Cricetulus griseus: one gene and its partners. The protein of the gene in region 4 interacts with the protein of the main gene of each other region in a pairwise test. Links are inferred from orthologs where the notes say so. Each region holds a gene or a part of one and is shown on either strand. Other genes may lie near its edges.

Region 1 (4,183 bases), about 170 Mb from region 4:
TTTGTAACAGGTTTAAATTTGTCAGGATCCTTTTTACACTAAACACCAACAAATGCCTACAACAGCTTCGGTTTAAGTCAGCACCGAGAGTTGTGTAATCAGTATCTTTTGCCAGTCCCATATGATATAAAAGTACATTCTGAGAACAATTAAGGCTGCATTTTTAAGTAAGTACAGTGGTACAAAGTTACAGAATTGAAGTCATTTCGATTCCCATCAGCTATCACGTGAAAACAAACTCGTAAGACCAAAACGTATTTTCCACTACTCGAGAATTAAATATTCCACAGACCTATGAGTCTAGCCTTATATCCTCAATCCCAAGTCATTCTCCCTGTTTAATAAAGCATGCAAAAATGATGTTATCTTCTCGTTTTGAAAAATACCCAGAAACACAAAAGCAAGTAACAGCAATAGGAAAGGTTTTAAAAATCCTAAGTGTCACGGTTGAAACCTATCATTTCGTCAAGGGATCGCTTAAATTACAGTCATTCTTCGGTTTAAAAAGTACCACCCCTCTCCCAGGCCCTCATAAAAATACCAAAGAAAATAAGCAAAAGCGGACTTTTAATCCAACCTTGGCTTTTTGGAAAAGGGCAGCGAACAAGGCAGGTGACAAACGCCTCCTAATTCAGAACTAGACAGAGCTGGAAACCGGATCTGCTCACCTCCAACAGCAAGGTACACAAGGCTGTTCTTTGCTTTCACTGGGTTTATCGGCTCTATCTGCGCCCCCACACAGTCCGCAGCAGGTGGGACTCAGCCAGAACCCCGGGGACTTTTCTCCTCCAGGCGGACTGACGCTGTCTAGGGCCAGCCCGGCCCCTCCTGCGAGCAATCCCCTGAAGCTCAGGCAGGCAGGGGGCGCGGGCGCCTCCGAAGGGGACGTGTCGTGAAATGCACGAGCACACTTCCCCCTCCTCCGCACCCCCTCAGCTAAAATTTCCCCCAACCCAAGAGAACTGCCACCCAGCCCCAAGAGGGGGTGCCACTCCAACACGCCCACCCCCGCAGCAAGGTCACCACAAGGTGTTTCTGCGAAGGCCCTCAAAACGCTTGTCCCCACAAGTTCCCAAATCCGACGCCCCGAGGAAGAGAGCCGGGTCGGGACGCACAGCTTGCACAGAAGTCTATGTACCCACGCTCCCAGAGAGACTCCAGCCAGCGTGCAATGACCGAAGAGAGCACCGCCTGCAATCTGCACACGCCTACCTCCTTTTAGACCAAGAAAAAAGATTTATTTCTTAAAACGAAAAAAAAAAAAAAGAAAAAGCTTTATCTAGAGCCCCACTGGACACGCCAGGCGTGCAGGCCTCCGACCCCTGAGATCGGGAACTTCCCGTGAAGACTGCCCGTGAAAAGTAGCATCTTTTGGAAGAAAAAAAAAAAAAGTGATTTCTGCCGATCCCTGGCGGCCTCCTTCGCGGGCCGCCTCCACCCCCTGCGCTCTCGCAGTTCCTCTCCCTCCCCCTCTGAGTGCTTTGAAACCCCCATTAAGAACAGTGTGTGATCAGACTAAGGATTAGGGGGAAAGGACTTCAGCACTAGGGTGGGGCAAACCGACACAGAAACCCCTTTGTAAAAAAGGCGTTAAGACTCCAAATCTCAAAAACAGTAACACAAAAGAGGGAGGGGGGAAACTAGTTTTTTTTGCCACCTACTTTCAGGTAATGGAAAACGATCGCGACCACTTAATAACTCTCTTCCTGTGCTAGGTCAGCCCAAGCATCAAAAAAAGAAAAAGAAAAAAGAAAAAAAAAGCATGACCCAGGCCGACCACGAAGAACGGAAAAAAGAGAAAGCCGCACTTCCGAACCGCAGAGACGCGGCGCCAGGCTGGGCGACGCTCCCACCCGCACCGGGCTAGACTGTCCACACCGGGCAGAGGCGGGGACTCCCTCCGCCTGGCAGCCTACCCTCGGCTTGTCCGCCGAGTCTTCTGCTCCGGTGCGGTGGTGAGATGAGAAGCCCAGTACCCCAGCCCCACAGGCGCCCCCCGCCGCAGGATCGGCTTCCCCAGAACTTGGCCTTCCACCGAAAGGAGGAACAGGTTAGCAGCGTAAACGAGCCTGCAACAGCGATCAGGAAAAGCAGGGATCTCGGCGACTAAACCGCCTCCAAAGCAGGGTAGGAGCAGAACGCAGTGGAGCGGTCCTCCTCCCCAAAGCCCTTAGGGAGCGCGGTGTCGCGGAGTGGGGACACTGCACCGGCGCACCCTGCAGCCCGGCGGTGACTGAACCCCTGTCCTAGGCGAAGCAGATCCGCGGGGCAGCTCCCGATCCTCCCTGGAAGCCTACGGGTTTAGGGGAAAGAGGAACCCGTACCCCACTCGCGGCGGACTGTGGTTCCAGCAGGGAAAAAGCCAAACGCTCCTCACCGTGATCGCGGCTTTGCACCAACCCCTCTCCCTTGGACTCTCTTCTTTCTGCGATGTGCAAAGTAAATCCAGTCCCGATGCAAACTTTTTCCTTCTTTCCGAACTCTGCTTCAGTCCAACTTCCAAGTAATCGGTGGCAGGAGAAAAACAACCAGGGGAAAATTTGGAACCCAATCCTCCACCGTTGGAACCCTCTCGGATTCCGGGCTAGAGAGAGAGAGAGAGATGACCTCCCTTCCAGAAGCGCACGGAGTATTTCCTCTTTTTTTTCTTTCTTTTTTTTTTTTTTCTCAATGAACAAGAAGCCGAAGCGCCGTGGTTGGCGAAGTCTCTTTTTTCCTGGCCGATGAGAGAAAGAGAGGCGAACACGGCCTTACAAAGAACCTAAGGCCAGCTCGCCCAGTCCTGGGGGCCCGGGGCTGCTTCGGAGCGGAGGCTGGCGCGGGGCCGCGGGCCGGGCCGGGCGGGCGCGCGCGGGGCCTGGGCGCTGCGCGCTCCGCCGGCCCCCTCCGCTCGCACTGCGGCGCGCAGCTCTGGCTCGTGCAGACTGGGCGTTGCGGAGGCGCGGCGGCGAGGCCGAGGCGGGGGCGGGGTGCGCAGGGGAGGAGATGGTGGGGGAGGAGGGTCTGGGCCCGGCCGGGCCGGGGCCGGGGCCGGGCCGGGCTGGGGCTGGGGCTGGGGCCTGGGGGGGCGAGCCGCTGGCCTGCGCCCTCGCCTTTCCGGAGGAGGCAGGGAGCTCTGCAGCGGCCGCGGCAGCAGTAAATGGCGTCATGTGGATCCGAGGCGGAACAGAGCAGTTGTTGTCCCAGAGGATATATCGCATCCGGTCCCAGCTCATTGGCTCGGCGGGGCTACATTCACTCACACTCCAGCGCCCGCCAGCGCTCCGAGCCGCAGGAGGCATTCAAAAGGGCAACCGCGCCGCCCCGCGCGTCCCCAGTCGCTCCTGCAGCCCGGGCGCCGTCACGCGGGGCCGCTGCGGCCACCGCGAGGTCAGTTTATCTAGTTTCAAGGAAACACTGACCTTAAGGCTCCCCCCCCCCCCGCCCCGCCCGCTCGCTCGCTCGCCCACCCCCGGAGGCCACGAGCACCAGCCGGAGGCCAGGCTCACTTAGGGAACTTTCTCCCTCGCCGCCCGGAGACCAGAGGGGACGTTGCAAAAACTAACCCGGCCGCACGGTGCGAGCGTGAAAAGCCACTTGCGGCTTTTTAAAAGATTCGATTCGGGAATCCATTTCGGATCTACCTCTTCGCCTCCTTCGCCCGCCCCACCCCCTCCAATGCCCAGGGGGGCGAAGAGGGTGGGGGGAGCGGGAGAGGGAGGGAAAGGGGAGCGGGAAGTGAGGTGGGAGGGCTATTGGTTTATTCTTTGTCTACTGGATTAACCCGATTATACACCGGGCACCAGCACAAACCGCCTCCCCCACCTCCGAGCCTTGTACGGCAGGAACGGAATGCAGATTCGGGTTTCAAGTCCCTTCTGCTCTGGCTGGGATTGGCTTTTGATTGTGTGGACGTGTAGTTTGTTAGAATTTCATTTTTAAGAGGGATTATCTATAGATGGAGGCCTTTTGAAGACTTTTTTGGGCATTGTTTTTGCTCGACTCAGAAGCTTTTTAAATTAATTCAGTAATACCCACGCGATTACTCAGGGCGACATCATGGACTTCCGAAATGGGGGGGGGGGCGCACGCTGTTCCCCTGCAAATTGAATCCCTCCTTCGCGAAACCGTAAATAAAAGGAGAGTCATCTTTCAAGTCCCACTGTTTGTCACCCAGAACATTCTCACAGAAGTTCCTCTTGTT
Region 2 (4,135 bases), on a different chromosome or scaffold from region 4:
GTGTGCCTGGGGGATTTGGCCTCTCTGAACATGGTCACCTCCAGACTCCCTCTGCAGGGCTGTTCTCCCTCCCTCACCCTATAAGCATCCCTATTGCGTTCCAAAGACAACTTGGGCCTCAAGTCATTGGCACTGCCCTTTGCTAGCCTCACCCCTGATCTGACACCCTGGGGGCCATCTATCCAGCAGCTCACACTCATTCCTGCTGAGGACTATTGCTAAGCAGCTCCCATTGCAGCTTCCACACCTCTGAGTGACGGTGTAGCCTAGGCTCTGACAGGCTGGGGACTGTTGTCTTCCTGTGTCCCCAACAGTGACCTAGCAGAGAATTTGACCCAGGACAGGCACATTTATGTAACACATGAATGTACTCAGAAATCTAGACACACATCTTCCAGTGTCTCCCTCTCTAGAGCCACCTCAATGCTCCTGCCCACTGATCTAAGGCCCTTTTTATTCTCTTTGTCCCCTGTGCCTCCTCCTCCAGGCAGCCCTCCATGACTTAACTTCTTGGAACAAGATTTTCCTGGGTGTCTGCAGTGGCCCCAGGAGGGTCAGATCCCATTCTTGGACCCCAGCTTCTCTGTAACAGACTGAACTGCGAGACCTGGGAGGCTGCTTAGAGAGGGTTAAAGTTCCTGGATGCTGAGGTAGTTCACAGCTCAGAGAAGGAGATTTTTCAGTTCCCAGCGGTTTTCAGTTTTATAACGGGCTGTCTCCCTAGCGCCGGGGGTGGGGGGGCAGCAAAGCTGGGTGCCGCCCACTGAGAACAGAACCCCAGGGAAGCGGAGGTCTCCTACCCTACCCCGTGCCCAGCACCCCCACTGTGCAAAAGGGGAAACTGAGGCAAGACTGGGGATTCTGTTTGGAGGTGCTGGAGTCCAGTACTTTATACCTTCATAGTCCCCACAGCCCCCTGCAGACCCGGGCTGAGCCATGCCCACAGCCCCCTTTGCAGGGCTCTGATATAAGGAGGGAGTGTAGGAGACAGAGTGGGTGGGCTCAGACCTTTTGAGCACTTGTGATTTCACCAAATGTTACCCGCGAGGGGCAGAAAGATGTCTTGCATACAGCACGCATTCAGCCGTGAACTGGAGTTCGAGCGGGGAGCCCCACTTGATTCCCCGAGGCTCACCCCTCTCTCTCCTCAGACCCCACCATGGTCTGATCAGCCGAAGGTCGTCCCGCGCCTTGGGGCGCGGCCCTGATGCAGAGCCCGGCCTGTTTACCTTGTGGCGGGCTCTGGGCAGGGCCGCGGGGGCTGTCCCGGGCCGGGCGCGGGAATAAATAGGGCTCGAGCTCGAGGGCGCAGACAGCAGCCGCAGCTCCACCGCCATGGGTCCCACCGCCTGTGTTCTAGTGCTCGCTCTGGCTGCCATGCGCGCGACGGGACAGGGCCAGATTCCGCTGGGTAAAGCCGCTTAGTGGGGGACATGGCTGGAGAGGAGGCCCCTCGGTTTCCTCCAGGCTCGAGATTCTGGCTCCTCGGAGTTGGGGGTCTGCTCTGCAGAGACCTACCGGGCCGAGAGATTAGGCGGCGGGTGGAGCTGGAGCAGCGGGTGGATCTGGAGGGCCCCGAGGGGTGATGGGGTGGTTGAGTCGCCCATCAGTGGCCCCTGCGGACACAGGTGGAGACCTGGCCCCGCAGATGCTTAGGGAACTTCAGGAGACCAACGCGGCGCTGCAGGACGTGAGGGAGCTGTTGCGACAGCAGGTAAGGGAACAGAGGGAGCCAGTGTGGGGACACAACAGAGCCAGGGGGACACAGCGCAGTGATGAGAGGTGGACAGACAGGTGACAGAAAAGAACAGAGAGGGCGGCAGCGCGGGGACCGAGAGATGGCGCGGACAAGAGTGTGGGACGGAGTGGACACCTCAGGGCGCGGGACAGAGCGCGGGACCGGACACACGGACCGGGCCACAGCCGGGGAGACAGCGGATCCGGCAGAAGGAGATAGAAAGGCGGTGGCTATGCGCCCCGGGCTTCCTAGGGAGGGGGGAGAGGAGGAGGAGGAGGAGGGTCGGAGGAGGAGGAGGAAGAGGAGGAGGTGGGGGAGGAGGAGGAAGAAGAACCACAGGGAAGCTGACCTCCTGCCGGACAGGTCAAGGAGATCACGTTCCTGAAGAATACAGTGATGGAGTGTGACGCCTGCGGTGAGCACAGCGGGGACCCGAGGGTCGGAGGAGGGCAGGGAAGCAGAGCGTAAAGGAGGAAAAAGGGCTGGGGAAGGAGGCTGGCGGGGCCAGGAGTGAACGGGGATGGAGCGGACTGGACGCTGGACAGCGAAGAACCAGAGGACCGCGCCGCGGCAGAGCGCACGCGCGAGAGTGCCGCTTCCAAGCGGGCTAAAAAGAGCCTTCTCCCGGGGCGTGGTCACGAACGGCTCCACCCTGGGCGGGGCAAGCTAGTCTCCTTGTGGGCGCGGCCGTAAGGCTCCTCCCCTGGGTGTGGTTCGGAGAGGCTCCTTCCTGCGAGCTTGGCCTAATTATTCCGCCCCCAAAGGGATGCAACCGGCGCGCACTCCCGGCCTGAGCGTGCGGCCAGTACCGCTCTGCGCACCCGGCTCCTGCTTCCCCGGCGTGGTCTGCACGGAGACGGCGAACGGCGCGCGCTGCGGCCCCTGCCCTCCCGGCTACACCGGCAACGGCTCGCATTGCACCGACGTTAATGAGGTGCGCGGGCTTCCCACACCCCCGCCATCCTGACGCTACCCGGACCGACTCCACCACAAATTCCCTCCTTCCCGACGACCCCCTTATCCACCGAGGGTGCCCTCCTGCCCCTAGCCCCGGGCGCAAATCCAGAAGACCTCCCTTCTACTGGGGAAGCCCACTCGGGCCAACTCCATCACTGCCCCCGACGCACGCCCTGACCACGCCTTCTGCTCCCACTGACGCCCACCCCGACGACCTCTTTGGCGCTGGGTGTGGCTCTCCCCAACCATCCTCCTCACCACTGGGGCTCGCTAGCCCCGACCACTCGTCTACTTTGGAGAGTCGCCCTCCTGGAGCACCTGGCGATCGCCGCCGTGCCTGCACGTGCCGTCGGCCACTTCCTCCTTCGGCTGGGGATGCCCGTTCCCCAAGTTCATTTCCTCACTCCTAAGGGGTCACAGCCTCATGTCCATCAAGGCAAAGCCGTCTGTGACCCTTGGGGTCTCCAAGAGCTGGTTGATGGCCGTGGCTGCGAACCATTTGGGTCTGGCGGCGCTCGCCTTTAACCCCAGCTCCCGAGAGGCAGAGGCAGGCGGATCTCTTTGAGTTCGAGGCCAGCCTGGTCTACATGGTGTGTTCCAGGGCGGCCAGGGTTATTCAGTGAGACTGTGTCTCCAATCAAACAACAAAAACAAACAAACCCATGTCCAAATCCGAGAAGCTTCAAGGTGCGGCTCTTGCGATCCAGCTGGGGGCCCAAAATCTTATGTGCTCCTTTTTCACAGTGCAATGCTCACCCCTGTTTCCCGCGCGTGCGGTGTGTCAACACCAGCCCCGGCTTTCGCTGCGAAGCCTGTCCACCTGGGTACAGCGGCCCCACCCACGAGGGCGTGGGGCTAGCCTTCGCTAAGGCCAACAAACAGGTAAGGGGAACGGAAAGCTCGATCCACACCCTTGTTCCAGTGAGGAAGATCTGAAGTCTGGGTGGAGAGACAGGTTGCAAAGAGGCGTGGCCCGGGTGGGACGTGTGTTGTCTGCCCGTGATCTCCGTCCCCCAGATTTGCATGGATATTAACGAGTGTGAGACCGGGCAGCATAGTTGCGTCCCAGACTCCGTGTGCGTCAACACCCGGGTAAGGAAGGCAGGGATGGTGAGAATGGCGCTGGCGAGGCGCGCGTGGGTGCCCGATTGACGGTCGGACCGCGCCTGCGCACAGGGCTCCTTCCAGTGCGGCCCCTGCCGGCCGGGCTTCGTGGGTGACCAGACGTCAGGCTGCCGGCGGCGCGGGCAGCGTTTCTGCCCCGACGGCTCACCCAGCCCGTGCCATGAGAAAGCGGACTGCATCGTGGAGCGCGACGGCTCGCGGTCGTGCGTGGTGAGTGCCGGCGCCCGGGAGGTGGCGAAGGGGTCCCCGAGGAGCCCGGGCGCGCGTGGACGGTGACAGTGACTCCCCTGCGCAGTGCGCCGTCGGCTGGGCCGG
Region 3 (2,611 bases), on a different chromosome or scaffold from region 4:
TAATTATAGAGTTTTACAAAAAATTAGGTAGGGTGCAACTAAGTTGGTAGTGTGCTTGTGTAGCACGTGTGAGGCCCCGCTTTTGATCCCCAGTATCACATAAACCAGGTGTAATGGCACACACCTGTAATCCCAGCACCCAGGAGGTAAAGACAAGACGATCAGAGATCCAAGGTTATCTCAGCTTCATACCAAGTTTAAGGACAGTCTGGAAACTGTCCAGCAGTCTGTCTCCCCTTCCAGGCTGGTACCCCAGGGCATTCCTGAACTCCTGGGATGTGGGCCCTGCCCACCTCAGTCCCAGTCACCAGCAGCCTCCCTTCACACAGGCCACTCTCCCTCTCAACAGTGCTCAGCTGAGTGCGGGACAGGAATCCAGAGACGCTCTGTGGTCTGCCTTAGGAGTGGGGAGACCCTCCAGGAGGACCAGGAAGCAGGAGCAGGAAGCACTGAGCATGGCTGCCCTCTCAGAAGCCGCCCTCCTGACATGCGCGCCTGCAGCTTAGGGCCCTGTGAGAGGACATGGCGCTGGTACACAGGGCCCTGGAGTGAGGTCAGCTGAGTTGAGGGTTTGGAGATGGGGGACAGGAGGGAAGTCAGTCCCCGTGAGTCCCGCATCGGGACTAAGAGTGGTCTCTCTTCCCTTCCCTTACAGTGTTCCTCAGAGTGTGGGTCTGGCACACAGCACAGAGACATCATCTGTGTGTCCAAACTGGGAGCTGAGTTCAATGTGACGTCTCCCAGCAACTGTTCCCACCTCCCCAGGCCCCCTGCCCTGCAGCCATGTCAGGGGCAGGCCTGTGAGGACCGATGGTTTTCTACTCCCTGGAGTCCGGTGAGTGCCTGGCTCCCTTGTCCTGCTCCACCTGGGCCTCTAACAAGAAGGGCTTTTCTCAGTGCACTGCCCTGGGCACCTCGGCTGAGCTCTCATGCCGTCCCACTTCCTGTTGACTAGGAAGACTGGTGGACCCTTTCTATTTGGGATTTTACAATGTCCCACCACTATCTTTCCGAGAGGGAGGGGAGCAGCCCTGGAAACTTTAGAGATTTGATCTGATGGGTATGGTCTCCCCAGTGTTCTCGCTCCTGCCAGGGAGGCATGCAGACGAGGGACGTCCAGTGCCTGAGTGCCAATCAGACTCTCAGCACCCGATGTCCTCCTCGCCTGCGACCTTCCAGGAAGCGGTCCTGTAACAGCCAACCCTGCAACCAGCGCCCTGGTAAAGAGCTTCCCGGCCCACCCGTAGTGGAGGGGATTTGGCTGGGATGTGGGCAGATGTGAGACGGGCTGGTGGGAATGGGTAACACTTGAGAGGGATGATGTCAGCGCTGCCTTGTGCCATTGACCTGTCTCCAGATGACCAATGCAAGGACAGCTCTCCACACTGCCCCCTGGTGGTACAGGCCCGGCTCTGCGTCTACCCCTACTACACAGCTACCTGCTGCCGCTCATGTGCCCACGTCCTGGACCGGTCCCAGCTGGAGCCTGCCTGAAATGGGTCCAAGAGATCCTTTCTTCATGGGTTTCTTATGCCACCACTGGCCACCCGCTGACTATCCCACTCTGTATCCTCTGGCTTTTCACCTGGTCTGGGTCTCACCAGGGATGTCCTCTAGGGGGAGAGGACAAGGTGACTGTTGACCTGCTGTTGGGTTTGCACTACAATGTGACACCCTGGGATGTGTACCTGGCCTGCCTGGGTGTTTGCCCCTGTGTATGTGTCACTTCCTCAAAAAAGCAAACTGAGGAAGAGGGGGAAGTGCACAACACCTGTTTCCCGGATGCCTTCTTTTTCCACGCTAGTCTGAGCTACATAGCATGTGCCCTGTAAGTTCCAATTTTATGTCCCAATCCTCATTTCCAGGCCAGGCCTCACACCATTAAGCTACCCTGTTGTTCCTACCCCTTCATCCCTCCCTCATTAGCTAGGGGACCCCTGCTACCCTACCTTGCCCAGGAAGGACCACACCTCTCCAGAGCAGGGACCAGTGTGAGGAGGATGAAAAAGAGAGATGTCAGCATTAAGACACCCTAGCCCCGGCCCCCACTTCACACTGGTGACGCCCATCCCAGAACTAATTTATTTTTTATTAAAGTTGATTGTGACAAACATTGCTCTTCATTATCCTCACGAGGACCCTGCCATCTGAGCAGTGCGCTGCCAGAATCTGGTGTGGGGAGGGACGGGAGGAAGGGTCGTCCCCAGGGCTGTGGAGGGTGCGTCAGAGCCGCCTGGCTCAGAGGCTGGGGATCCTGTGCGGCCCCAGAACTGCAGACGGCTCACTGGCCACTAGAGGCCACTACCTCTTCCCGTTTAGGGGTAGTGATGGGTGCGTGCTTGGATCACCGCAGAGTCTGTGGTGGGCTTTCGGGTAGGCTCTTCCGGTGGGTGGTCTGCAGGAACCCAGAAGGACTTTTCAATTCAGAGCCAAGCAGGCTGGCTCAGTGTACGTGTGGGGGTCCTCTCGCCTGGGCCTTGGCTTGTCTTCTTTTACCCACTTCCCTGTTCAATACTTGGCTTATTGCTTCCCATGGGTGCTCGTGGCCGAGACTTGCTCAGCAGAATCCGAGCCCAGCCTGGTTCCCCGGGACTGCAGGAGGAGGGGGGAG
Region 4 (4,255 bases):
TTGCTCGGTGCGCCCAGTGGCTCTGGCACGGACACGGATGGCGGTGCTGAGCCTGGCGAGATGGAGGCCGGGCTCCAGATGGACGAAGCAGTAGGCGTACTCAGAGAGGACGCGGCTGCCACCGGGTTCCCACCCAGGCCCGCGGCCGCAGCAGCCGCGGGATTGGCGGAGGCACTGGACGCTGAGCTAGACGAAGAGGCCGAGCTAGACACGGCAGGCGGCGTGAACTGGCCGCTACTCTCCGAGCCCGAGCTCTCGCGCACTGGAGACGACTTCTTCTTGACCGGCCGGCTTTTCGTTCCGTTCCCGCTCTGCTGCTGCTGGCGGCACTTGGCACGGCGGTTCTTGAACCAAACCTGCAGTGAGCAGGGTGAAGGAGAAGGGATCAGGGGGCTGGCTAGTGGAGCTCACAGCTCCTCCGCCCCTCGGACTCACACCCCGCCCAGGATCTCAGGGACCTCTCAATCCCAGCCTCTACCCCTCCCAGTCTCTGGCCCTGCCAGACCCTGTCCCCTCCCCCGCACGTGCTAGGTCCCCAGCTCTGGCTCCCTCCCCCATCCTTCTGCGCAAAGCCCCCAGTCAGCCTCCACCGCAGGAGGGATGCGCACCTCCCCAAGCCCAGCGCAACTCTGCCCAAGGGCGGAACGTTTGCGTCTGTCCAGCCAGAAGTTCAGCCATCTCTAAGCTGTTGCAGTTGGCTGCTTCCCCGCAGCCCCGTTTTAGTTTGGAGGCCCTGTTTTCCAAGAACAGAGCTCAGGAAACAGCGGAGAGTACAGAACATCGGAGAGTAGGGCAGTCACCAAGTCTGGGGCCCGAGGGGTTTCACCGAGTCGGCTCCTGGAGACTGGAGTTGGGCAGGGCAAATATTTGGGTGGGAACAGAAGCAAGGCTGGAGGCTGAACTGAACGGAAGCAGTACTCCAGTACTGGGATTCTCGTGAAGGAAGCCTGGGTGAGGTTTCCTTGGGCCTTTTGGCTCCAGGTGGGGTACCAAATGGAACGATAAGTCATAAATTCGCACTCCTTTTGGAGGGGCCCGGACACGGGGCATTGCATTCCCAGTCCCTTCTCGAGCCTTCAGGGAAAGAAGTTGAGACAAAAGACTCTCGAGGAAGAGTTTTAGACTAACTCAGAACTCCTATTTTCTGAACTGTTTCATTTTAGAAACAGTAAACCCAGCATCTGGATTTTGCACTCGGCCTCCACTCGGCTGGAGAAAACTCCAAACCATACCGACTCCACCCTCAGAGCACACTCCAAGGCAGATTGCGCTAGGCTGTGACCAAGTTCCATCTTGCACTTTTAGAATCCCCAGGACTCAAGGGAAGGGTAAGAAAGACAAGAGCGGAAGGAGAGCTAAGGCTCAGTAGGAAAACGCCAAATTCTGTTGTAGCCAGGAAGCAGGGGCCATTATCTAACCTTCTGGGAAAGTTACACCCGGGGGACACGGCTGGCCTTTCCAAAATCCAAAAACCGACTTTCAACAATGAAAGCGCCCTGGGGACAAGGGCTAGAGAGATGTTGGGCTCTAAGCCATTACTTTTTAAAATGTTACCCCCCTTTAGCTGACTGAAGCCCAGCACTAGGGGGAGTTAGAGAGGGGCTGTCCAGTCAGTGAATGGGCCCCAACACCAGATGGCCCAGGTCGGATCTTCCCCGACCGCTCCTAGCGCCCCTACCCTAATCCTAGAGTCCCAAAGACCACGCACCTGGACTCTGGACTCTGGCAGGTTGATCTTGAGCGCCACCTCCTCTCGCATGAAGATGTCCGGGTAGCGAGTCTTTGCGAAAAGGGCCTCCAACACGTCCAGCTGTGAACGCGTGAAGGTGGTGCGTTCCCGTCGCTGCTTCCGCGGGGTGGCTGTGGGGACATACAAGGGCACCTGGAGTCAGCAGTGGACCTCGAGGACTGGAGCTAGAGGCCACACGCAGGTCTTCTGGTAGGTCCAGAACCCTGCCATGGAAAGGAAAGGCCGACCTCCGCGCAAAAGCAAACTTCCCTGCCCACAGGTGGGGCAAAGTGTATAAATTGGGCTAGAGGCTCCTGTCTGAAAGAAACATCAGGGCCTCAGCCCTCCTTGTCTCTCAGATAAAAAACAAAGCCATCCCCTCCTCATCTCCCTAAGCCCACTTCTGGCTGAAAGGTAGGAAGTAGAACAGAGGTAGGTAGAAACAGGACCTGGGAAAGCTTTCCAAGTGAATAAATTCAAGCAAAGAAGTAGGATCCAGAAAATAAATTCGGGGTTCAGTTGGAGTCGTCTGCCACCACGGAAGAGCTGGGTCAGGTCCCTGGTCTCTAGGGCACTCTGACTAGGGAGAAAGAGCTCTGCTTCTCAAGGCAGCTAGACATAAGGGAAGTTTGGCTGTTTACATTAGGGCCTATCGAGTCCAGATTCCTCGTGAAATGTTTGGGCGGGCAAGATTTTATTTTTTTAAAAAAGCAACCGGTGGGAAATACGTCGGTGGACAAACATGCTTTCTCTAGCATGTGAGACCACAACAGGAGCAGGCACCACAAGCTCAAAAGTTGTAGGTCACAGTTTCTAAACTCAAACCGGAGAGCCTGTAGCAGATCTGGGCAACAGACACAGAGATAATCATATCCCTGGGCCTGTTTGGGGACTGTGTGGGCTCAAACGTTAAAAGCTGGAATCCCCCAATATTTGCACAGGCTTGGGGGTAGGGACATAGGGCCACCGCTCACCAGGATAGCCCACAGAGGGGTGTAGGAGGTCCATGGCAGGGCCAGCTAGGCCCAGCCCGTTCATGCCGTATGGGGGTTGTTTGAGGTAAGACATCATGCTAACTGCCGGGTGGAGGCGCCCCGACGGATCCAGGGGGCCTGGGGCCAGGAGCAGTTCAGGGCTCCCACTTCGAAGTCCTTCAAGCTGTTGCTTCTGGGGGCCTGGCCTAAGGAGACAGGAGACACATGGAAACCGTCACCCGCAGTCACTTTGGCTTTCAGTTCCTATAATCCTAGAATGGGGAGGGGGGCAGGCTAGGAACTTAACAGGGCAGGCAACCCAAGAAATTTCTCCTCCAAGCTCAGCAAGCCGGCTTCTTAGAAAAGTAAACTTTCCCCACATCGTTCCTTCCTCTTTTAGGGCTTGACAAGGGCCAAAGACACTCCTTGAGTGTCAACAGGAAAGAAAACTTAAAAGCGCGATCAGGCCGAGGAGGTGAGAGCCGGGACCGGGGAGGGTGCAAAATCCCAAGTGTAGTCTTTTTTTTTTAGTGCTGCGGAAGCAATTTGCTCAAGCAAATGTTCACTTGGCGCCGGGATGGCAGGCCGTACAGAGCGTACGTACCGGGTTATTTTGTTTAAGTTTCAAATGTTTTTGAAAGAGGGACAAAACCGCTGGCACTACAGAGGTCCAAGGTTAGTACCCCTTGGATCGCCCAGGCAACTGCCCATTTTGGTCACATCATTCCTTCAGAGATCTCCAGAGCAGCCCCCTCCCCCAGAGTCCCAATCACCATTCTATCTGACCTCTCTGGGCCCCTGACGCTAGGAGATGGGTGAACCGGAATTTCAACGCACTTCTAGGGTAGATGTGGCCCAGGCCCGGGTGAGGCGGCGAGAAGATGCCAAAGGCGCCACAGTAGAAGTGGCAGTTTCAAGAAGCCGCCCAAGGTCAGGGGTGCCTCAAAGACGGTCACCCGTCCTCCTAAGCCCACGCAGGCCCGACCTTCTTTCTACCAAGTCCGAGAGAGCACACCGAGTCCCACCAGGGTCTGATAAAGGATGACCAGCCCAGCGGCTCAAAGCATGCTGGGGAGTTCAGAAGCCAGAGCACCCTGGATCGCGTGGGCTCCTCGCCGTCCTCTCCTGAACTCGGTGGAGAGCAGAGAACTAGGCCTCAAGTCGGAAAGCTCCCGCACACCCAAGCTGGGAGCGCTAGGCTCGGCCGAAGACACTGCGAGCCCCTGGCGCTCTTCTCCAGCGGAAGAAGGGGTTCTGGGGGGGTAGGGCTGGGACCCGAGAGGGGGGCTTCTAGCTACACCCGGCTTTACAGGGAGCCCAGGGTGGGAACTCAGGGAAAAAGGAGGCAGGACTTAAGTAGCTTTCCCATCCCAACTCCAACCCCTGCTTCGGTCCTTGGGGTCCCGCGGCCTGGACTAAGGGAGACCAGCAGGCGCGGAAGGCGGACGGAACCACAAGGGAAACAGCGCACTTGGGCCGGAGAACCACAGGCCACCAGCCGCCGCGGTTCTGCGAAGGTGCTGCGTGAGTTTTCGAATACTTAGATCTAACT
Region 5 (4,245 bases), on a different chromosome or scaffold from region 4:
TCTGACGGCCTTCCAGAGGCGGTGGCTGAATCACCACTAGGGAAGTGTGGCTGCCATGCTGACTTGGGGGATCCATGTGGAGTGATCTCCGGTTCCGGCAGTCAGCAGAAACCTGGCATGCATCGGAAATCCTAAAGAAGAGTGAGAGAGAAAATAAATGAGAAAGCATTTTGGGGAGGGGGGCGCCTGTAAGTAACAAATTGCCCAAACCACCTGGCAATGATCGCCTCCATCGGCTGATTTCAATGATGCAGAATCCTGGCAGGAGTCCAACTCCAAAAACAAGGATTGTGGAGGGCCACATCACAGGAAGAAAGCAAGCAAGACCTCATGCCACAAAAATTAGAAGTTGCTCTCCAGCTTCTAAAAAGCAGAGGAAGTCATGTCTTCCTGTTTGCAAACCTAACAAATAATTAAAATGAAATATGCCTTCGAAGGGAGCATTCAGTGCGCGCCCTGGAACTGTTCTCAGAGAGTTCACTATCAGTTCACTGGCAGTTCACGTAAGGAAAATGTCAGCTACTTTTTAAAGATTAAGAATGGCTTTAGTGCTGTGGCCTCTTGGCCATTTGTTCGCTGTTAAGAGCTTTAGATTAATGAGAAAATTAATCAAGGCAATTTCCAAAACACTGGATATTCCAAGCTCACGTGAATCTCAATAGGCCGTTTTGGGCACAAGTCCGGATCTAAAGCTCATCTGTGAGATGAGAAAAAGAATCTACAAGGAATGGAGAAGGCAGCGGCTCTAGCTGTCTTGCTGGCGCTAGAGCATGCACACAAACTCTGGATAGAAGGTTCTTTAAAGGTTAAACAAGGCTCACTCACCAACATGAATAACTTCTATGCACAAGTGTCAAACCTACAGAGCAGGGAGAGGAGCCCTAGTCTCTGCATTATCTTTATTTCCTTTCATTCATCTACACCACAGACCTTGATTTTCAACAAGCCCTGAATCGAGCTGCTTTTTGTAATAAGGTAAACACACTAATATCTCGTCACAACAAACACGTTTTCACGTCAAGAAATAATTTACAATTTATAATGCATTCGTCCTAAAACAGAGCAAAAGTTGACTTTCCCGTTTCCGGGCAGTAGGTATCTAGGATATTTTTCACACAAATGCTCTCCAAACCCACAGATGCACCCTAATTCAAGACGGCACTTGAATTAGGTGCCAAAAGAAAACAAAACGTCTCAAGGAAAAGCAGTTTGCTACGGATGCTCCTAGACTACATGTTTAGCTTCTTGGGGGCCCCTCTAGTTTATTCTACCTTCCCCAAACACGAGAAACACATCTGTAACAGCACGTCTTAGTACCGAACCCCTAAATGACAATGGGAAACAGCCAGTCGTTACTCCCGTGCCCTATCTATTTTAAAAAACTTAAAACTCCAAAACGAAGACTTTAAATGTGCCAAGTTTCATCCACAAGAAAGGAAGACGTGGGAATGGCTTGAGTAATGAAACCCCCAGGCATAGCTTTAATTCGCATTTTACAGGGCATTCCCAAGCAAGTTCGCTCTGGCGGAGCACCTCGGCGCCCGCACCCGCCCGGAGAGCAGCCGGGTGCGCGCGGACAATTCTGTGAGCCCGCACATAGGCCTCAGGGACACCGAGCCGCAGCGGCTCGGGCTGGGGAAAGTTATGAATGAAAACAGCTCGCGGGCGGGAGGAGGCAGCGCCCTCTCCCCGCGTCGCGAGGCACTGCGCTCCGAGCATAGGCGGCCGCTGGCTCCCCAGCGCCATCGGGTGCCGCGCGCTTGGCACGGGCTGCGCGACGACCGCCAGGATCGCCCGGCCCGCCCCGGCCCGCACCTGCCGCCCGCACTCACCTCGGCCTCCGCGGCGCCGGCCCGGGGCGCCGAACGGGCGGGATGCGCGCCGCATCAAGCGCGGCGGGGCGGCCGGGCGCTCATAGCCCGCGCTGCGGCCTCGGCGGCCCCGGGGCAGGGGCGCTTCTCCGCGGTTGGCGGCGGCCGAGGGCGGCTCCGGGACATCCGCCGGGTGCGCGCGGCGCCCGCTCCACAGCACCGTCCCGTCCCGGTCGTCAGGCGCGCGGCCCGGCGTCGTCCCGGGCGCTCGGGTCCCCGCAGGTCCGCGTCCCCGCAGTCGCCACGCCGGCTGCAGACGAGCAGAGACAGAAACACGTGAGTCCCTCGCCAGCCCGGGACGCTGTCCTCCTCGCGGTGATGGGCAGCCACGAGCCCGGGACACACGCGGCCGTGCACGTTTTGCCCCCACGGAATGCCCTGCAGTGAAAAGCGCGTCCGAACGGCGCGTCTGCTCGCGGCAAGCCCGCACTCGGGGACTGCAAAGTCAGGTCTGGCACGAGCGCCCGGCGGCTCGGTCGCCAACAATGCGCACAGACACGCGGGTGCGCGGCGATGCCAGCCCGCGTCCGCACACGCGGAACTCGCTGCCCGGCTACGGGAAAGCGAAAGGAGCCAGCTCTCCAGCTGCAGGGCCGGGCGCCCAGCGCGGGGCACCAAGCTAGAGCCAGATCCGAAAACGTCCGGTCCTTGAAAAAAAAAAAAAAAAAAAAAAAAGCACCATTCTCACCTGATCTCGCCAGGTCCTGGGCGGGAGGGCAAGGCTCTTGCCTAGTGCAGAGCCCGGGGCCGGCCTTCCCGGCACATGCACGTCGCGCGCAGCTGCTTCTTAGCCCGCAGAGCTCTGGCTGCGGGGCCGCCGCAAACTCCTGCGTGCTGAGCACTCGCGCGCGGGCTCCGCAGCATTTCAGCGTCGCCGCCACCTCCACCTCCACGCTGGGACCCGCCCCCGGTGATATCATGTGTCAATCACGCGGGCTGAGCCAAAACCCGGAGCAGGATTTTAGCGATCGTGGATGTGGACTCGAGGACGCTCCGAAAAAACTGCCTCTGAGCTCAACTGGGCAGCAACACATGTTCCAGGGCCCCTGATAGTCAGTGAGCTGTCAGCCTCCGATTTAAGGAAACCGATGCGTTCACCCTTATGAGTTAGAAAAGAGTTGTGAAGAACAGTAGGCAAAAACAAAACAACAACAACAACAAAAACACTTGTACACCTCTCCACCGTGCCCCAGGGAAAATGTGTGCTGATACAGTATGAAAGTTCCCGAAAGGACAGTCACTTTTGCAAATGTAATATAATGATCCACAGCAGGAAATCCCTCCTGCTGTGGGATTTTAGTGATTGTTCCGTTTCGGTTTATGGTATGATCCCAAAAATTACTCGGAAAAAAAAAAAAAAAACAAACCCAAGTAAGTCCTTGCTATTTTGTAATGTTTGTATAATTTTGTCAAAAAAACACAAACTTTTTTTTAATCAACAAAAAGCAAGTAAAATAAGAATAACTCATGAAGAAGCTTTAGTTTTAGTTACATGTCTGTCACAGGGTAGGGGGACTCTAGTAAGTGGGGAATGCTTTTTGTTTCCTTACAAACTCTGGGATTTTGGACATTTATTATTGGGATGATGTAGCTCAGGACAAAGTGAAAAGAACTATATGTGGAACTAAAAATTCCATAGAGGGTTTTTAAAATAACCTAAGACCCCAAAAATTGTTAATAGGAAATATTTTCCCAGGGAACTGTATCAGGAATAGTTTTGATAAACAACAGATCTCCAGGGTCTAAATCATCCATCAATGTGAGTTTGGATGTTTTGGGCTCAAAGTAGTTTTTTAAAGTGTTAACAATAACAGCAGGTTTTTTTTTTAAAAGCTTTTTGTTGATGTTGGTTTTTGCATACTTCATTTTCAAGTATCTAAATGCTTTTAGAACTCACAGTTGTGTGTGGAATTGCATGGGAGACATCCAGGACACTCCTGCAAAGAACATCCTCCATAAGAAAGGCCACTAGAGGATAATAGAACATTCTAGAAGCCAGGAAGCTAGCTGTCTGTTCACCTTCATGCTAGGAAATGTGTTAAAGTCATAGTTTCAAATGTAAAGCTGGTGGGGCTTTTGTATCTTGTCTATTTTCCCACAGAGGTAGCAATGTAATAAGGCCTGACAGCTGTGGATCTGTTTCTTAGGACTGGATTGGAAGGGTCCAATCGCTAATGCAGTATCATACCAGAGTATCTTTTTTGGCACTTCTCAGTTGTCTGCATAAATTTAGCAGGGAGGTCAGTGATAAAACGAGGACAGGGAGCAATGAACAGCTTTAATTACTCGACACTAATAAAATACAATTTCAAAGATTCTTACTAAAATACACTTCAGAGTATTTCAGCCAGAGATGTGCTAAAAAAAATTCCTA
Region 6 (4,220 bases), on a different chromosome or scaffold from region 4:
TCCCTGTATTTGAGAATGAGGGAGACTAGAGAACATCAATTTATTCAATTCCTAAATGTTCTGGGCCTAATGACTTCATTATATTTCATTAAATATTTTCAACATCTCTCCACAAGGGAACTAATCATTACAATGGCTATTTTATAGTCTTACTACTGTGGCTGAGATCTTACATTCCACTGAGGAATTTGGTCTTCAAATTCAGCTATTTCTGACCTTGACATAAAAGTGCTCTGAGAAGTTGAAGAGATTTAATTGCTAGAAAGCAATATTACAAAACAAATTTAGCAAATGGATGACTTTTGGGTGAAAGGTAACTTAAACTTTCTTTGTATTAGTTCTTCATTGTAACATTTTTGTCCTAGATAGTATCTACAGAATTTTTGTGCTCATGTCTTTGTGAAAAAAATGGAATCTGTTCTTTTGTCATTAAGGGATGTTACATAAAGAATTATACTATGGTGGAGGTATAACTAGGAACACAAAAATCATCAAGGTTTTGTTCATATGTTTTTTTGTTGCTTGAGATGGTAACACAGGTATCTTTCAAAATTTTTGTTTATTTTTATGTGTTGGGCGTTTGACCTCCATGTATGTCTATGTATCACATGCATGTCTGGTACCTTGGGAGGCCAGAAGAAGGTATCAGATCCCCGTAGATTAGAAGTACAGATGGTTGTGAGATACCACGTAGTGTTGAGCACAAAACTCATGGCCTCTGGAAAGGCAGCTAGTGCTCCTAACCAGTGCAGAATCTCCCTAGCTCCCAAAGTCATATTTTTGTTTAGGTAAATATAGTAAGTAGAGGGAAAACTAAAGTGCTTTAACGGTAAGCTGACTAAATTTGTAAACCAGACTATATATTCTTTTATATATTAAGTACTGATTGCCAACTTTTATCTGTCAAAAACTGTATCTCCTGTGATCTGGGGCTAGATATTCTTTCTTGAAAAATTTACTCTAATTGTAGGTGCATATTAGAAGGGATTGTCACTGAGTTTGTTCATAATATATTGTTCACAATATTTTGATCATAATATGTTGAATACTATATTTTCACTACCTAAAAATAAAAATAGCTAATGACATAGTGTATGTAATATTTTAAAGACCATATTTTCATTAGTGTGATAGTCTGCTCTTAACTGTTATTTTCTGTTAGAGTAGCTTGACTAAACTCTCTTGCTTTTACTTCTTAATATTTCACAACACAATTTTATAATACATGAAAGAGAAAAGTTCAGAGTAACAGCGACAGTTCCATCAAACAAAGTTGATGTAATCATTGAAGCCTTTTTTTCTTTGCAGCCAAAGAATGTAGTGAAAAAAGTCAGGCCTTCCTTTAGAAACCAGAGTGAGTTTGAACTCACAGCCCAGAATGGACCGAACACACTAAGTCAGCCATACACCAAAAGCCATAATGATGATCAGTTCAAATCTTTCTACAACATGCTGACTTCTGGCACCATTTTACTTTGTAGGGAGAGAAGTTAGCTCAGGTCTAAAAACTGAACATTCATTTTTCAAAAATTAACAAGCACACTTATGACTAGCTATGACTTCTTTTACCTATAACGCTATAAAGACCATGTCACAGAATGTTGATAAAATTAGAACATTTAATATTAAGCTTTCAGCAAGAAAAGACAGTCCAGCACACAAACCATCATGACAACTAACTAGGATACTCTTGATTCAAACCCCCAGAATTCATGTGTGGCTTGTAGGACATTCTAATTAGCATTAGCGACCAGAGAAAAGAGAACTCAAGAAGAAATAAAAATAAACTTCATGTTATTTGTTATGTAAAGTGAGACACAAAGGTGAAAGGAAAATGAATATGTCATTGAGAAGTTAACTTCTCTTTTTGAAGGCCATGATAAGAAAAAAATAAATCAGTTCTCTAGGAAGTCTTGTAAGAAAAACATCTCATGGACAGAGAGCTGAGCCCGAGCCCTGCTCTATAACAAGTAGACCCAATGAAGTTTCTTAAAATAGAGATCACAGCTCTGAGTGCTTTTCTATAGCATGTACAGTTCAACACTGCAAACAAATATGTCAAGGCCATCAGAAAATGGCTCCAAATACAGACCAATAAGCCAGAAAACTCACAGAATATAAAAAAATTAATTTAACAGGTATATCCTCCAAACAATCTCCCTCCAAAAACACATTGTATAAAAACACAGAAGGAACATTTTTAAGGGTTAAAAATGAAAAGATATTAAACATGAGCTGAAGACGATCTGAATAATGTGATTACTATGAGATACTGAGCGATGAACTAACTGGTCTTCTGCCAACCATGGTGCTACTCATGCTGCCTGGAGTTATATTTTGGTATGTGTTCTAGCTTCAATTTTAATGCAGTAAATATTAGAATTCAATAAATATGGAGGGTAAGTCGTACCTTAAATTCCTCCAAGATTTTGTAATTTTTTCCATGATATTCACAAAAGTTTTTCACTTCTTTACATTCTGGACAGCATCCATTGTGTTCCACTTTTGTACATTTCGGATGAATTTTAGGGCATTCTGGCTGGTCACAAACAGGTCCATCTAGAGCACAGACACATGGACAGTTGGAATGCCCCGGGAAAAACCGTTCTCCCAACTTGTATACAAAGCCGCTGTCATCCACACACCCTTTCCCTCGATAGTCATCAAAGATCAGATTGTCATTACTGGAAGCCTGGTCACCTTCATCAGCAGGATAGTCTTCGTGACTGATGGCAGCAGAGGTGACCAATCCAGGGATGACCAATAGAAGTATGCAAGCTTCATGAATATGAAGAGCCATCCCCCTCCTCACAGGCTTCTGGATGTTCTCCTAATATTAAATACACTCAGCTCCTTCCATGGGAATGCAAGAGGGATGGGCTGAAAATAAATATTTAAAAGGTAATTTGACATATAGAAAGAGTAAAGATGCACTTAGCCCATGCTCTTAAATTGTTTGTAAAGGTTCAATTTTGGAAGACCCTGAGACTTCAAATAAACAATGTTCATCCAACTGTCTCTACTATAAAGTTTGAATAGCGGATTTTGATAATGTACATTGTAATAAAGGTAATTTATGGAGTTATTTTACTTAGGCACCTCTAGCTTGTAATTTGCCTGTGAATTCCAGTGGTCTGGCTCTTTGCACATTGTAGGAAGCAATTTTGTTGAAGCTTAAAAAGTGATTTTAAGTACATAGTTCAAGGATATTTTGAACCACATCCATGTTTTTCTTTAAATTGGATGAGTCAGTAATAGAATGTAGATGTTACACTATTCTGGATAAAAACAAGAGGTTAAGGTGAAGCATTAAAAAACCAAGGGAACTAAAAAAATAAAACAGTTGGATGCAGGTTTAAATGAGATGGATAAAGTATAAAGGCTTTCTTTCTCATGCCCATAATCTGGATTTTGGAACACATGGAATATGATAAATAGCATAACAAATCATAGTGAATAAGAGAATATATTTATAAATTAAGTGTTACAAAAATTTAATTTATTGAAATGGACTTGTTAAAAACAAAGTCATGTATACTATTTGTTCACATCTTTAGTTTTATGCTGGAGATAAGCTCCTAGTGGGCAGGAAAGATATAGCTATAAATTTTTATAGCAGCCAAGATCATGTGATGTTGTTTGAAGTTGATTACTTCCATATTATATTAATATCATTCACATTTTATTGAAAATATCACTCATTGGAAATGACCAAGATATTTGCATTTAGGTAATTTCTGCAAAGATGCCAGAAAAAATTCTTTGGAAGTTTCTTAAAATAATAATGAAGCACTGATATTCACAGACTGTATACCTTATTGCCTGGATAGCACAATAACTGTTATACACCCCCAGGGTGTTAGTATTTGGTATTGGTAGTGAGATATCCTTTGGCTAGTTAGAGTAGATAACTTATAATTTCTGTGAATCATGGATGAGGAAAATTATTTTAAAATATTTCATTTATCTATTTAAATGCTGTTGGCTTCATGCCAATATTACTAAGATTGTCTGTAGGACATTTTAAGATATCTAAGTTTCATTCATTGTTTTATCTCTAAACTATATTAAAAACAGTAATAAACTACTTATTTTCAGGCCAGCATATAATTATGATAATTTTAAATATGATGAAGATGATGCTAGGAAACTTTGTAAACTCTTAGAATATTTTTGCATTTTAAGTTAGATATGCAAATTCGAGTAATAGTAAAATGGAA
Region 7 (4,085 bases), about 57 Mb from region 4:
TTAATAAAGGCTAGTATTCCCTGAGCACAGCAACACACTGGTGCACTCTTTGCATACATTATCTCACTTAATCCTTAACCTAGCTAGCATCACGTGAACTGAAGAGACACAGATGGGTAATTTATATAAGCAGCGGAAGACGGTTATAACCAGGCTACCAGAAGTGCCTGAGGAAGATCACAAACATATGAAGGCTTGCTGCTACTGTGTGCAAACACCACCATCACCAGTGTCTGGAGCACAGTTCTGGCTACAAATCAGAACCACCTACAAGACCCTCCCCTAACCCCATCATGCACCAGAGTCTCATTCATGTGTGGACTGATGGCCTGGAGAAGGGATGGAGCAAAAGCAGGGGCTCCGCAGATGATTTTAATGGGCAGACAAACTAGACTAAATGAATCACTGTTAGACTTGCAAATGGCAGTACTTATTTACAATACTGATAACAATAAAGAGGCTAATGCTTATTAAGCTCAATGCCAGGTGATTCTAACAGATGATAAGATGAAAAACCACTAATAATTGTTTTCCACTCTGTTAACCACTCCAAATAGTTGGCTACAACCTAAATTTACTGACCATCAGAGCACTTTGCCTATCTACTTCCCAACAAAGTGTTTGGCTTTTCTTCTTGAAGAGACATTACAACTGTACTTGAACCTTTCTTTCTGTTGTGCTGTTCTGAACCCAGGGCAAGCACTCTATACCACTGAGTTTCTTCCCCAGCCCTGGCTGAACCTTTGTAAATAAAATTCTGCCAGCTCTGATTAGACATGAGGACTTTAAGGACAATCACAGATAACATGAAAAAGTTTGGAAATCCCTTTGAGCCAGTGTCTCTCTATACAGCCCTGGCTGGCCTATAACTCACAGATCCACCTGCCTCTGCCTCCTGAGTGTTGGTATTAGACAAGTGCCACTGAGTCCGTGGGCTTTTTGTTTCTTTACATTTAAAACAAGAAGAAAAAAGTCCTAAGAGTCAAACTAAAAATTAAATATCAGGTTATGATAGTAAAAACACTGAGATATACACTTAAGTTGTATTATTCACTATTGGCTATATACCTTAATTAAGCGTGTGATGACAGTTAAAACAGAGCTGTTATTATGGTGCAAGTCCCATCTCCTTATCCCAGGTCCTGGGACAATGATTATGCAGTCTTTTTACCCTGTTAAGTCACCTAAATACACACTTAACAGATGCTAAGAAACCAAAGCATTACATAAGCATATCCAAACAACAACATGGCTTGTCAGTATGACTGCTCTCAACAACACTGAGAAATGCAAGGGCTCTGCTGACAATCGGATGAGAAGTCTCACTGTTTCACTGACTTATTCACAGCACATCCCACTCACCCTACATCAAAACACAATGAAGAGTGCTCCAGACATCTTCAGGCTCGCCCCCTTTTTATATCAGTGATAACTCGACATGCAAGTACAGGAAGTGTGAGCTGTGACTTTTAACCAGAGATACCAGCTGCGAAGGAGTATCGATACCCCAACTCCGGACTTATCAGAGAAATGTTGCAAAACTTATAAAACTTCCTCCTTCCGGACAGCTCATTATTTGCTTCAAGTCTACACATTCCTTTATTAGTCATGACCTTTCAGGGTGCTTTCATCCCGTAGTGTTTGAATATTGGACTTTTGATGGTGCCAATAAGCCTTACAGGAACCCTTATCAAACAAGAAGCCAACCTAGAGTCCGTGCCCCTAAGCAGAACGATTACAGGACACTCAGGACTTGTGATTCGTTGCAAACATGTATCTTTCTGCCTATTTTTATGTCCACCTATATATTGCTATTATATATAATGGCAGAGACTTAATTAGTTCTGCAGAAATGTACTCTTAGGGAACTCTGAAGCCCTGTGGGTATGTGTCAAAAACAAGACGGTGAACCTTATTTATCAATTGCCAGTGGGGTCTCACATCCCTGATCTTACCTCTGAGCCATATGTCAACAGACCGTAAGGCACAGTCCCAAAGAATAACGGGGGAGAGGGGCAATTTACCTGGATGGATCCCAAAAATACACATGCACTTCCATCCCTGGGCAGAAGGGATGGCCCATAAAGCAGACCATCCTTCCTGCTGGGATCCCACACATCCCCAGGGCCGTGGGGCCTGCTACAGGGCTTGGGAGGGAGGGAAGACAGTGTCTGTCCCCACTTGGGAGTCCTAAACAAACGGCAACAGAGCAAGTTCTCACTTCCTGGTCGCTGGCGTTTCCACAAGGCCCCCATCCCGCGCCAGTCACCGGAGACAGGGGTTCAAGGAAGGACGACTCCGAGGGGTACCGGGGCCCACCCAGCCCGCGCCTCCCGTCCTCTCCTAGCCCTCGCAGGGCCTTACACGGTGACGTGACCGGAGCCGCGGACCACCACCGGGTCGGGCGAGTACTTCAGCAGCTGCTCCTCCAGGGCCCGCTCCTCGTCCTCCTCCTCCTCGTAGATCTCATCGAAATCCGCCATCCCGCGCCTGCGAGCCCCGCGCCCGGGGCCCTGGCTCTGGGGCGGCCGCGGAGAACGGCTGGCGAGGCTGCGGGCGCGGAGGCCGCGGGGCTGGCGCTCGGCAGTGTCGGCTCTGGCTACTGAGGAGACCCGGTCCCGGGCGCCGCCGCCGCCATTACCGTGGGCAGGAACAACAACACAATGTCAACATCCGCCGGGGCCGCCACCCCCGCCAGCGCCGCCGCAGCCGCCGCCGCCCGCAACTCCGGCAACCACAGCAACAGCCAGAGCCACCCGCAGCAGGAGCAGCCGGCTACCGCATCGCGAGACTTCCCGGGAGCGCGGGCGAGCGGGCGGGCGGGCGGCGAGCGGGCTGGCGTGGGCGCGCTGACGGGCGCGAGCGTGGGGCGGGCGCGCGCACGCGGCAGGCCTCGCGCGCTCCCGGGACGCCGGCCTTTTCCTCGGCTTCTACCCGGCGCGGCCCCGCCCCCAGGCTCCAGGGTCACCGACCCGGAAGGCGGCGTCTGTGGGGACGGGGGCGATGACCCTGGCTCGACTCCGAGAGCCAAGCTGAATTCATCTCTAGCCCAAACAACGACTGCGGACCAAGCCCCTGGCTGGAAGAGAGAACCTCTCTTGCCTGGAACTGCCGGCTTAATCATCTGATCTCAATGTTTGTCAGTGTATTTAGTGCGAACCAAAAGTTGGTTGACTTTCCCAACTTGAGACCAACAGAACAGTGCGTTCTTGTCCACATTTAAACCTGATTTTCCATAAATCTCCAAAGTCAAATATCTTGTCCTTTTAGCTTCTCAAGTACAGTCTCAAGCATGAGAGAGAGACAGAGACAGAGAGGAGAGGAGAGAGAGAGACACACAGAGAGAGAAATCTCGCCATCATACTTTATAACAAAGTTGACAGATTCTCCGGGTTCCAATTAAGAAAATTCAGTTCTATGTCTCAACTCCATCACGAAAGATAATCTGTTCTCTTCCATTAAAACTTTACCCGCTTCCTCCACAAGAAAGGGAGGGGGTGGAGAAGAGGAGATGGAGAAAAGGGGAGGGAGGAGCAGTTGACTTAATGGATGGGTCACCTTGGACTTGGTTTCATAATCAAGAGTCTGCCAGGCATACAAACAGCACAAAGATGGACTCCTAAGGACAAAATGGACAATGGAGTAATGAGAGTTTATCACTGAGCTGGGGGTGTCCAGTACTGTTCTCCATATAGTGTTTACATCCTTGAAGTTCACTTATGGGTCTTTATTCGGGCAGAAAATGTAAAAGGTTAATGTGGGTGGTTGAAAAATACTGAACAACTAAATATTGGAAAGAGTTGAAAATGGGCAGTGAGTTAGGAAGGGAAGAATAGTTGATATGTCCGACCTACTTTCCCAGATGTATTCATTCAATAAACACTGACCCAGCTATGTGGCAAGCAGTGTGTGTGTGTGTGTGTGTGTGTGTGTGTGTGTGTGTGTGTGTGTGTGTGTGTGTGTGTGTGTGTGTGTTGTGTGTGTGTGTGTGATAGTCTCTGGCAGTAACATCTGTCATTAAGGCAAGCAATTGTATTTCTCTTATCAGGTGTTCAGAGGGTCTGCCAAGGTCTCCAATGGTGCAC

Evidence for each region.
Region 1: the proteins of Otx1 (region 4) and Spry2 interact in binary tests that used the Homo sapiens proteins (3 or more experiments, as listed by UniProt). The two-hybrid records come from large-scale screens. The link is inferred for Cricetulus griseus from reciprocal best matches to the Homo sapiens genes OTX1 and SPRY2.
Region 2: the proteins of Otx1 (region 4) and Comp interact in binary tests that used the Homo sapiens proteins (3 or more experiments, as listed by UniProt). The two-hybrid records come from large-scale screens. The link is inferred for Cricetulus griseus from reciprocal best matches to the Homo sapiens genes OTX1 and COMP.
Region 3: the proteins of Otx1 (region 4) and Adamtsl4 interact in binary tests that used the Homo sapiens proteins (3 or more experiments, as listed by UniProt). The two-hybrid records come from large-scale screens. The link is inferred for Cricetulus griseus from reciprocal best matches to the Homo sapiens genes OTX1 and ADAMTSL4.
Region 5: the proteins of Otx1 (region 4) and Spry1 interact in binary tests that used the Homo sapiens proteins (3 or more experiments, as listed by UniProt). The two-hybrid records come from large-scale screens. The link is inferred for Cricetulus griseus from reciprocal best matches to the Homo sapiens genes OTX1 and SPRY1.
Region 6: the proteins of Otx1 (region 4) and Vwc2l interact in binary tests that used the Homo sapiens proteins (3 or more experiments, as listed by UniProt). The two-hybrid records come from large-scale screens. The link is inferred for Cricetulus griseus from reciprocal best matches to the Homo sapiens genes OTX1 and VWC2L.
Region 7: the proteins of Otx1 (region 4) and cysteine-rich hydrophobic domain-containing protein 2 interact in binary tests that used the Homo sapiens proteins (3 or more experiments, as listed by UniProt). The two-hybrid records come from large-scale screens. The link is inferred for Cricetulus griseus from reciprocal best matches to the Homo sapiens genes OTX1 and CHIC2.

What each region holds. Positions count from the first base shown.
Region 1 is NW_023276807.1:257,384,644-257,388,826, forward strand, and holds the start of Spry2 (protein sprouty homolog 2), read right to left. Parts: upstream 2,801-4,183; 5' UTR 2,378-2,800; intron 1-2,377.
Region 2 is NW_023276806.1:248,600,942-248,605,076, reverse strand, and holds the start of Comp (cartilage oligomeric matrix protein), read left to right. Parts: upstream 1-1,335; coding exon 1,336-1,411; intron 1,412-1,628; coding exon 1,629-1,714; intron 1,715-2,101; coding exon 2,102-2,153; intron 2,154-2,502; coding exon 2,503-2,672; intron 2,673-3,439; coding exon 3,440-3,577; intron 3,578-3,712; coding exon 3,713-3,787; intron 3,788-3,871; coding exon 3,872-4,030; intron 4,031-4,115; coding exon 4,116-4,135. UniProt on the Homo sapiens protein: Plays a role in the structural integrity of cartilage via its interaction with other extracellular matrix proteins such as the collagens and fibronectin.
Region 3 is NW_023276806.1:60,828,259-60,830,869, forward strand, and holds the end of Adamtsl4 (ADAMTS-like protein 4), read left to right. Parts: intron 1-329; coding exon of another isoform or gene 330-349; coding exon 350-553; intron 554-655; coding exon 656-835; intron 836-1,075; coding exon 1,076-1,220; intron 1,221-1,357; coding exon 1,358-1,494; 3' UTR 1,495-2,111; downstream 2,112-2,611. UniProt on the Homo sapiens protein: Positive regulation of apoptosis. May facilitate FBN1 microfibril biogenesis.
Region 4 is NW_023276807.1:84,695,141-84,699,395, reverse strand, and holds the start of Otx1 (homeobox protein OTX1), read right to left. Parts: upstream 2,801-4,255; coding exon 2,704-2,800; intron 1,861-2,703; coding exon 1,709-1,860; intron 357-1,708; coding exon 1-356. UniProt on the Homo sapiens protein: Probably plays a role in the development of the brain and the sense organs. Can bind to the BCD target sequence (BTS): 5'-TCTAATCCC-3'.
Region 5 is NW_023276806.1:112,081,566-112,085,810, forward strand, and holds the start of Spry1 (protein sprouty homolog 1), read right to left. Parts: upstream 2,801-4,245; 5' UTR 2,560-2,800; intron 1,943-2,559; exon of another isoform or gene 1,833-1,942; intron 132-1,832; 5' UTR 77-131; coding exon 1-76. UniProt on the Homo sapiens protein: Inhibits fibroblast growth factor (FGF)-induced retinal lens fiber differentiation, probably by inhibiting FGF-mediated phosphorylation of ERK1/2. Inhibits TGFB-induced epithelial-to-mesenchymal transition in lens epithelial cells.
Region 6 is NC_048595.1:424,192,699-424,196,918, reverse strand, and holds the start of Vwc2l (von Willebrand factor C domain-containing protein 2-like), read right to left. Parts: upstream 2,801-4,220; coding exon 2,411-2,800; intron 1-2,410.
Region 7 is NW_023276807.1:141,545,311-141,549,395, forward strand, and holds the start of cysteine-rich hydrophobic domain-containing protein 2, read right to left. Parts: upstream 2,801-4,085; 5' UTR 2,484-2,800; coding exon 2,365-2,483; intron 1-2,364.